Linked DNA regions of Macaca mulatta. The protein of the gene in region 1 interacts with the protein of each later gene in a pairwise test. Links are inferred from orthologs where the notes say so. Each region holds a gene or a part of one and is shown in the gene's direction. Other genes may lie near its edges. The genes, in order: PCBD1 and TFF3.

Evidence for each region.
Region 2: the proteins of PCBD1 (region 1) and TFF3 interact in binary tests that used the Homo sapiens proteins (3 or more experiments, as listed by UniProt). The two-hybrid records come from large-scale screens. The link is inferred for Macaca mulatta from reciprocal best matches to the Homo sapiens genes PCBD1 and TFF3.

Annotation. Positions count from the first base shown.
Region 1 is NC_133414.1:78,748,336-78,752,854, forward strand, and holds the start of PCBD1 (pterin-4-alpha-carbinolamine dehydratase), read left to right. Parts: upstream 1-1,697; 5' UTR 1,698-1,722; coding exon 1,723-1,725; intron 1,726-2,037; exon of another isoform or gene 2,038-2,407; intron 2,408-4,358; coding exon 4,359-4,490; intron 4,491-4,519. UniProt on the Homo sapiens protein: Involved in tetrahydrobiopterin biosynthesis. Seems to both prevent the formation of 7-pterins and accelerate the formation of quinonoid-BH2. Coactivator for HNF1A-dependent transcription.
Region 2 is NC_133408.1:5,175,244-5,179,767, forward strand, and holds the start of TFF3 (trefoil factor 3), read left to right. Parts: upstream 1-1,583; 5' UTR 1,584-1,598; coding exon 1,599-1,827; intron 1,828-3,643; coding exon 3,644-3,793; intron 3,794-4,524. UniProt on the Homo sapiens protein: Involved in the maintenance and repair of the intestinal mucosa. Promotes the mobility of epithelial cells in healing processes (motogen).

The DNA of each region.
Region 1 (4,519 bases):
TGTGTAAGGTGCATATGGAAATAGTACCCCCTCACACTGTGCGGGCGAGAATGAGGACTGGTGTCCCCATTCTGGACATTATCTGGAACTATTTTGAGATACACACCCATGCGGGAAATTGCTGGATTCATAGGGTATGAATATACTTAAGAAACTGCCCACAGCCCCGGGAGCTATTAGAGATGTTCACTGCAGCAGCATTGTTGTTTAACTCTGTGTGTGTATGTGTGTGTGTGCCCACATACTCACGGATTTGGGAGGTGGTGGTAGCAGCAGAAAGTTGGAGGGAACCTAAGTATCCATCACTGATAGAACAAGAAACCACGGCAGACTCTCATTACAAAATACTAGGCCGCAGTTAAAAGCTACAGATTGAATATACATATAGCGACATGGGTAGATCTTAATTTTCCACTAAATACTCTGTTTTGTAAGAAACAGACTGAGAAATGTAATATATTTACATAATACCATTTACATAAATTTAAAAATACATATAGACGAAACAACACCACACATTTTGCAAGAACGTGTGCAAACAAAAATACACATTAACACATTAGAGAGGCTGCTATGGGCCGTGGCGGCGGGCGGGGGGGAATAAAAATGGAGTACAAGAATAAAAGGTAACAGAAAAAATGTAAAATGTGAGAGGACTTTTCTAACCTGACTCTAAGACTTATTATAAAGCTATAATAATCAAGACAAGGTAGCGTCCTGTCATGATGGACAAACAGATCAATGGAACAGAAGAAAGGGCTCAGAAATAAACCCACACATATATAATCAATTGATGTTTTACAAAGGTGCGAAGACAATTCAGTGGAGAAAGGAATAACTGAATCTCCATGTGCAAAAGTGAATCTGGATCTATAACTTGAAGCATACAAAAATATTTACTCAATGTGGATCACAGACTAAATGTAAAACCCAAAGCTCTAAAACATAGGAGAAAACTTTTGTGATCTCGTGTTAGGCCAAGATTTCTATGCGTACAACATCAAAATAGAAATCTATCAAAGAAGCATTTGATAAATTGGATTTCATCAAAATTAAGAACGTTTGCTCTTTGAAAGGCAGCGTAAGATAATTCAAAGAAAATATTTGAAAAGCACTGCCTGATCATGTCCTTATATCCAGAAAAAAACACCCTCAAAACTCGGTAAGAAAACAAACAACCCAATTTCTTTTTTAATGGGCAGGAAATTCAAACATGCTATTCACCAAAAAAGACTTATCCTTAGCAAATAAGTACATGAAAAGATATTCAATATCATTAGTCATCAAGGAAACTTGATATGTTCATAATCTTGATCTCAGTGTCGGTCTCACGAGGGAAACATTAAAATTCATCAAATTGTACACGTTGAATATGTGCAACTTATTGCATGTCAATTCTATCCAAATAAAAGATTTTTATAAAGAAATAAATAGTTATTCTGGCGCCCAGGGCCACCCAGCTGTAAGCGGCGGGCTGGGATTCCAACCCTGAAGTGGGCATTTGGAGCCCTCATGCTTCACCCTAGCTCCCTGAAACAAGCTCGGAGGATTGGCTCTGAGCAGCGAGGAAAGTGCTGGAAGGAAGCAGGCCGAGCGCGTCCCTGGCTGGGGACGTTAATCATTACCGGAGGGCGGTCCGAGCGCGGCCCCGCCCCGGGACGGCCGCCTGCGCGCCCGGCCGCCGCCTGCCCTCTCCGCCGGCCACCTGCTGCCGCCCGCGCCATGGTGAGTCCAGGGGTGCGCCGCCGCGATCGGGGCAGCGGGGCCGGGGCAGCAGCGGGCGAGGTGGGAGCGGGACGGGGCGGGGGAGGGTCTTTTCGAGCCTCCTGCGGAGCCGCCGGGGTCCGAGAGTGGGGTCTCTGCCCGGGTCCCTGTCGCCGGCGGCGGGGAGGGGAAGCTGAGGCCCTGAGAGGGGCATGGCGGGTCCCGGTCCCAGCCAGTTGGGAGGCCAGGCCTGCCCTGACCCAGGCCAGTGCTTGTTCCCGGACCCTGCTGGGGGCGGGGCCTACGACCTTACAGGGCCGGGGAGGACCGTGGTGGGAGAGTTCGCAGATCTCGTCCCCTTAGTGGCCCGATTCGGCTTTATACTGGGGTGGGAGCGAGAGGCAGGCTGAGTTTGCGCGCTCCTGTGCGTACCCGTCCGCGCCCCTTCCCGCTCGCACTCTGGATACAGGGTCTGTCCGCCTGGGACTCACGCTCTGAGCCCATGTGCGGTCCCGGGCTCCAGAGCCAGCCTCCGCGCCGGTTTGAGGCCGGTGCCCGGCCGCGGGGGCTTGGTGGCGCAGGAGCAGCCCTCCTCCCGGGCTAGCTTCCCCCACCTACCCCCGGGGCGGGGGCGGGCCCCTTGCTCTGCTGTAAGCTCGGGCGCTTCATCAGACCGTTTCTGGCCCACAGGCCTTCGGAGCAGGCAAGACTGGGAGGGCCTTTTGATGGGAGAGGGACTTGGGGGAGGGAGGATGAGTGGGGCTGTTTGTGAGGGGCGCTGAGGCCCCCAGAGATGCAGGCTTGGGAAATCGGCGACCACTCCCCACACCTCGCCAGAGGAGGCAAGACCTGGCGGGGATTTACTAAGCAAACAGGGCACCGTCCCCCTCTCCAGAGCCGGCACCTGGAAGATTTGTCAGTTCAGCCCCAGGCTCTGCGACTTGGGGGGTTCCAGAAGGCTCTACCGAGAAAGGGAAGCCTCCTAAGAGCTCACCTGGACTCACCCATCCCTTTAAGAGCCAAGGAAGTAAACAGTGGGCTCTGATGCTTTGGCTGACTTCTGGTTGTCTGGATACACGGACCAGGCAGTCAGCCACGGGGAGAGGGCCAGCTCTGGAGTAGAGACCTCCCTACTGGGCAGATGATGCAAATCGCTGCTGCCATTCAATCCCTGTAGCCATCTAGAGCCGAGGAGAGGAGAGGGGCCAAGCTCCCTCAGTCCGGAGAGAGCTCACGTTTTCAGGAGGGAAACAGGAGGGAAAAAAGACGGACTTAGGAAAGCACTGCGATGCTTCAGCTACCACAAATGCTACCAGGCCCATCACAAGCCTACTTGCCTTAGGAGGTATTTTTTTGTAATGCAGATGACATTTGCTTTATAGCAGTGGAGTTTCCTAAAGTGTCCCATTGGCACCTCCTGATGATCTGTGGAGGTAGAGGTTCTGCCAAGAGAGGTACAGCCACCTGGCTGGTAAATGGTGAAAGCGGGGCTCAAACTTCCTGCCAATCAACACATGGTGTTCAGTCTGCAGGCTGCCTCATAAAAGCTAAATTAACCTCCCTCACATTCCCTCCTCACCCCTAAGTATTTCTTTTCAATTCAGCACTCTATTTCTGCCCTTGGGTGGTGCTACTCTAGAAGCCTAGGTTCTGGGATCCGTTAAGGTCCTAGACCTGGATCCTCCTAGGATGAAACTGACCCTTGCTTCCTTGCATTCTCTGAGGTTCCACTCATGGCCTGAATTGTGCCAATTTGGGCTGCGTTGAGGGCACTTTGCACATTAGGTAAATAGGACAGGGCACTAGGTTTGCCAGCTGCCTTTGGCCAAGTTCCTTCCACTTTGGGGACTGAGTTCTGTGGCCTGAGCTTCCCAACCAGCCAGAAAAGCAGATGGAAAACCGGAGAACCTAGCCCTGGCGGCTCAGGACCAGAGGCTGCCTGGGAGCATGACTGAGGACCTACTAGAGGTAGTGCCAACACGGTCAGCTACAGTGTGGCTAAGAATGGGCTGGACACTTATTTTAAATGCAGCTCCTTTGTCCAGCCCCAGGGATGCTGACACACAGACAACACTGCGCCATCCCTGGCTAGGGGAGGGCAGGAAAGAACAGCAGACAAGTCGTTTCCCCTCTCTAGGCCTGTTTGCTCTTCAATACACATGAAAGTTACCGTAGGGACGTGGGGTGCATATGATAAAGTACATAATAGGAAAAGGAAGGGGGGACAGTCATGGTACTCTTCCTCAGAGGTTGTGGAGTAATATATTTGCATCTGGGATTTATTTTGCTTTTACGCCCTCACTGATGTAATAGATCTTATGGAGGGGAAGGTCTGTAAGGCTTTGAGGGCAGGATAGGGGAAGAGTGTCTCTGTCCCCGTCATATGAATTGCATTGCTTTTGGGATTTCCTTTCTCTGTGTGGAGTGTAAAACCCAAGACCTGAGAGCCTATCAGCGGACAAGCCTGGACCCCACCTCCTGGGCAGAGTGCCACCCTTGAGGGCTTCCAGCTTATTGCTCAAAGACCTGCTGCCCTTGGTCACCCACGTCCAAAGCAGCCAGTGGAGGCTGGCTAAGTTCCCCTAAAGGCTGGAGCCCCTGTTTTGACCTATAAAAAGAAATGCTCTTGGGCCTCGTTTTTTCCCCTCTTCTAGGCTGGCAAAGCACACAGGCTGAGTGCTGAGGAGAGGGACCAGCTGCTGCCAAACCTGAGGGCCGTGGGGTGGAATGAGCTGGAAGGCCGCGATGCCATCTTCAAGCAGTTTCATTTCAAAGACTTCAACAGGGTATGGCACCAGGGCGGGACAGAGTTTTC
Region 2 (4,524 bases), on another chromosome or scaffold:
TCTTCCTCCTTCACTGGCCTCAGCAGGGGCGGCACACAAGAGGTGAGGGGCCCTCAAATCCATCCACAAAGGGCTTGCGGGACACAAGGCGGGGCCCGGGAGTCACACGGCAGGACACATCCTGGTGCCCAGCACATGCGCCTTCGGGCTCCCATGGGTCACTCAGGGAAGGGTAGTTTGTGGACGCACCCTTGGCAGTGCAGAGCCGCCCTGCACACACCACCAGGGACCCCAGTTGGAGGCTAAATCTGAGCGGCCAGGCGCTCCCATTTCTCGGGGTAATAAACCAAGTCCACCCTTCAGACAGAGGCTCCTGGAAGGGTCAGTGGGGGTCATCAAAATGCCTCCCTGGAAAAGAAACACGGAGAACACAAAATCTAGGAACCCGTTTTCCTGGAATGAGATTAGTCTCTTGCCCACAACCAGCCAGTGCACTGCAGGAGGTTAGGGGGTTAGGGGGTGCTGTGGATGCCAAGGGCGGAAGCTTAGGGTCCTGGGTTAAATGGACCTGCGTTAAATACTGGCTATACCAGGGATACTGGAATAACCTCCGGCAGGCACCAGAAATGTTGAGTCTTAGTTTCTTCCTCTGGAAAATGGATATAATCATCGCTGTCTCATCTGATATGTTGTTATAAAACAATTCTTCAGATGTAGTCTTTAGTTTCTAAAAGAGCACACCGGGCAAAGGTGGAGAGTCAGTTCCTGTTTGTGTTAAGAATGTGGCCGGGTGCAGTGGCTCACGCCTGTAACCCTGACACTTTGGGAGGCCAAGGAAGGCAGATCACTTCACTCCAGGAGTTTGAGACCAGCCTGGCCAACGTGGCGACAGCCGGTCTCTAAAAAAATACAAAAAATGAGCTGGACACATGCCTGTGGCCCAGCTACTTAGGAGGCTGAGGTGGGAGGATCACTTGAGCCCCGCGGGGGCGGGGGTCTCAGTGAGTTGAGATTGCACCACTGCACTCCAGCCTGGGTAACAGAGCAAGACCCTGTCTCCCCCCGCACCCCCCTCAAAAAAAGTGCTTAGATCCAGAGAGAAAATCTCTGGAAGGATACCTAAGAAAGTTCACAATAGATGCCTCTGAATAGGAGAGGCTGTTTTGTATTATTTGATTTTAAAAATCAATTACGTGTGCCATGTTTTTATTAACATATTTTCAATCAATTCATTTCATCCACTTATTAAAATGTAGTTAATAATTTTTAGGGGAGAAAGCAAAAAAGAAAGACGAGAAATCTCTGTGTTTCAGGAGTTGTGAGAGAGCTGTAGGGTCCTGACTCACTCAGAGTGCCGTCTCCAAGGCTGATCTGGGATGGAGCAGGCTGGGGCTCTCTTGTCGTGGGACCAGGGGTGTTCTGAGGGCTCCTGGCTGGGAGGCTGAGATGGACACCGTGCGCTGGTTCTGCAGCCCCACGTGGCTCCCACACCCTGCACCAGGCCAGGCTAGGAGGGTGATTAACACACATCTGCTCCCCAGCAGAGGACCCGTAACCAGAACTGGAATCCGCCCTCACCGCTTGCTGCCAAAACAGTGGAGGCTGAACTGACCTCTCCCCTTTGAGAGAGAAGAACTGTCTGGGAGCTTGACAAAGGCATGCGGGAGAGTCCGGGAGCAGCCAGAGCCAGGAGGGAGAGCCCTCCCCAAGCAAACAATCCAGAGCGGCTGTGCAAACACCGGGGCATAAATGAGGCCTCCTGGACCATGAAGTGTGTCCTGAGCTGCATCCCGGAGCCCACGGTAGTCATGGCGGCCAGAGCTCTCTGTGTGCTGGGACTGGTCCTGGCCTTGGTGTCCTCCAGCTCTGCTGAGTACGTGGGCCTGTGTGAGTACCGCTCTGACTGCCCCGGTAGCAGGGTGGGCGGGAAGGAGAGGGATCCAGGATAAGGGGGGATTCTGCATTCATGTAATAATGGCCACCTGTCACATATACACTTTTTCCTGCGCTATCCTATGAAGTGGGTGTTTATTGTCCCCATTTCACAGACAAGGAAACCGAGGCTCAGAGAAAGTTAACAACTTATCTAAGGCAGCTCTGCCCAGTCTGTTGAAATCAGGCTTTGAGCCTGAGCCCATCCCCTATGACCCCGTAGCCATCTTTGCCGGAGATTTCTAAATTACAGTATAGGTCTTTATGCATTGTTTTCACATTTACAAAGAAAAAGGAAAGATGCGGGAGAAAAACCCTGACTTCAGAATACTTTCAATACCTACCGGCACAAGGTTCATTTAGCCATTGCATAGCAACCCTGCGGCGGGGGCGTGGCTGCTCCATTAACCCAAGTTTGAAGGAATGAGGGTACGGCTTTTATCCGGGTGTCTTCTGAGCAGGGTCAAAGGCAGGGGTTCCTGAACTCACAGCCCATTAGAATCACCTGGAGAGCTTTAAAAATCCTAATGCCTGGGGCACACCAGTTACCTCAGGGCATCTGCGGGTGAGCGCCAGGCCTCAGTTGTTTTCTTTCGAGACAGCCTCGCTTTGTTACTCAGGCTGGAGTGCAGTGGCACAATCTCGGCTCACTGCAACCTCCACCTCCCAGGTTCAAGCAATTCTTATTCCTCGGCTTCAAGCAGCTGGGATTACAGGCGTGCACCACCAGGCCCAGCTAATTTTTTGTATCTTTAGTAGAGACGGAGTTTCGCTATGTTGGCCAAGCTGGTCTTAAACTCCTGGCCTCAAGTGATCCTCCTGCCTTGACCTCCCAAAGTGCTGGAATTAGAGGCATAAGCCACCATGCCCAGCCATCGTCAGTCATTTCTAAAGCTCTGCAACTGATTCCAGTGTGAGTGAAATTTGGACGCGGTGAGGATAAGCAATTACAGACTGGGAGCAATAGAAGGGAATTTAAGAGACCACATGATTTCTATTTTCCTAAGGAAATACCCAGTTCATTAATGAAACGAGGTGAACTTCTGCTGCACACACAGACATAGAGGCTTGCCTGAAAAATGAAAATATTGGGGACTGAAGGATGTCCAGGGAGGGTGGGACATGCTCAACAATTCGGGGAAGGGAGATGCAGAAAAAAATGAAAAGCAGGCAGCATGCGTTGCAACGATCTCTATGGCATGTGTGTCTCCCATCGCGTTTTTCATTTAAAACAAAGGGGCAAGGTTTTGTTGGTCAAACAGTGAAGGGGAACTTTGTTTCCGAGTTCAGGGGACCCTGGATTCCCCAGGGGTTCCTGCCAGCTGGAAGGGACCCAGGTCCGTATGTGACTTCCTGAGAAGGTGATAAGAGCGTGCCAAGGAGACAGACACTTAGGCAAATGGCCCGAGTCCCCAAGTTTAGCATTTAACAGACTGCTTCTCTTTAAATATTCACAGGGAAAGCCCATCTTCCTAAAGGCAAGGGTTTCAGCTGTGGTTGAACTCAGGAGGTGGGAGCGGGAGGATGCAAATTTGCACAAGGAAAGCCCGTCCTCCTAGGAGTGAGGGTTTCAGCAGTGGTTGAACTCAGGAGGGGGCAGCAGGAGGATGCAAATATTCACAGGGAAAGCCCGTCTTCATTGGAGTGAGGGTTTCAGCAGTGGTTGAACTCGAGGTGGGAGCGGGAGGATGCAAGCTTGCAAAGTGAAGCAAACATACTCACCGCAGCCCAGTAAGGGCTCTGGCAGCTGACAGGGCTTTGTTTGGGACAGCTGCAAACCAGTGTGCCGTGCCGGCCAAGGACAGGGTGGACTGCGGCTACCCCCAGGTCACCCCCGAGCAGTGCAACAACCGGGGCTGCTGCTTTGACTCCAGCATCGTTGGAGTGCCTTGGTGCTTCAAACCCCTGCAGGAACAAGGAGGTAAGGCCTGAGTGACAGCATCATGGTCTGGGCCTGGCCCCATAAGGCCGGGGGTCTCAGGGCCTCCCTGTCCTTTCTGGGCTGGAGATGGAGGCACGAGGTCCCCGGGAAGCCACACACCTGCACCAAGGCCTCAGAGCAGAGGCTTCAAGCCCAGGGCAGCCATGGCCAGGGGCTGTCCTCTTTTGTCTCCTTTGTGTAAAACATAAAAGCAATCATTTCAAAAAGGTGTTCAAAATGATGGCGTTATGTAGAGGAAACTAATTTAATAACTATTCTTGAGAGAAGTGGAAACACATAGGTGTGGAAAGCCAGGCTGACTTTCAGGCTGTTTTTGCAAACCGGTCCCCCACCAGAGTCTTGTCATTTGTGGCATCCCCTCCACAGATGGCAGGCAGTGCCAGCCCTGGGTGTTGGGCCTCGGTGCCACACCCCACTTCCCCCACTCTGCCCCCTACAAGGGCCATCTCCTCTCCCTCTCTCTGCCATGGTGGAGGGCAGGTGCAGGGCAACCACCCTGGGGGTTCCCTCCCCAAAGGCGGAGAGCCTGTGTGCTGTACAGGTAACAGATGGCCCTGCACACGGGTTTGCCGCCCTGGCTCCACCAGGCTCAGCTGCCCCACGTCATGGGTGGGGCGATCGGCTATTAGCCATCTGCCGTGTCCAAGTGCCAGCTCAGCCCCCACGAAGGCCGCACCTGCGTGAGGTACCTTCCTGGAACCAGCATCCAG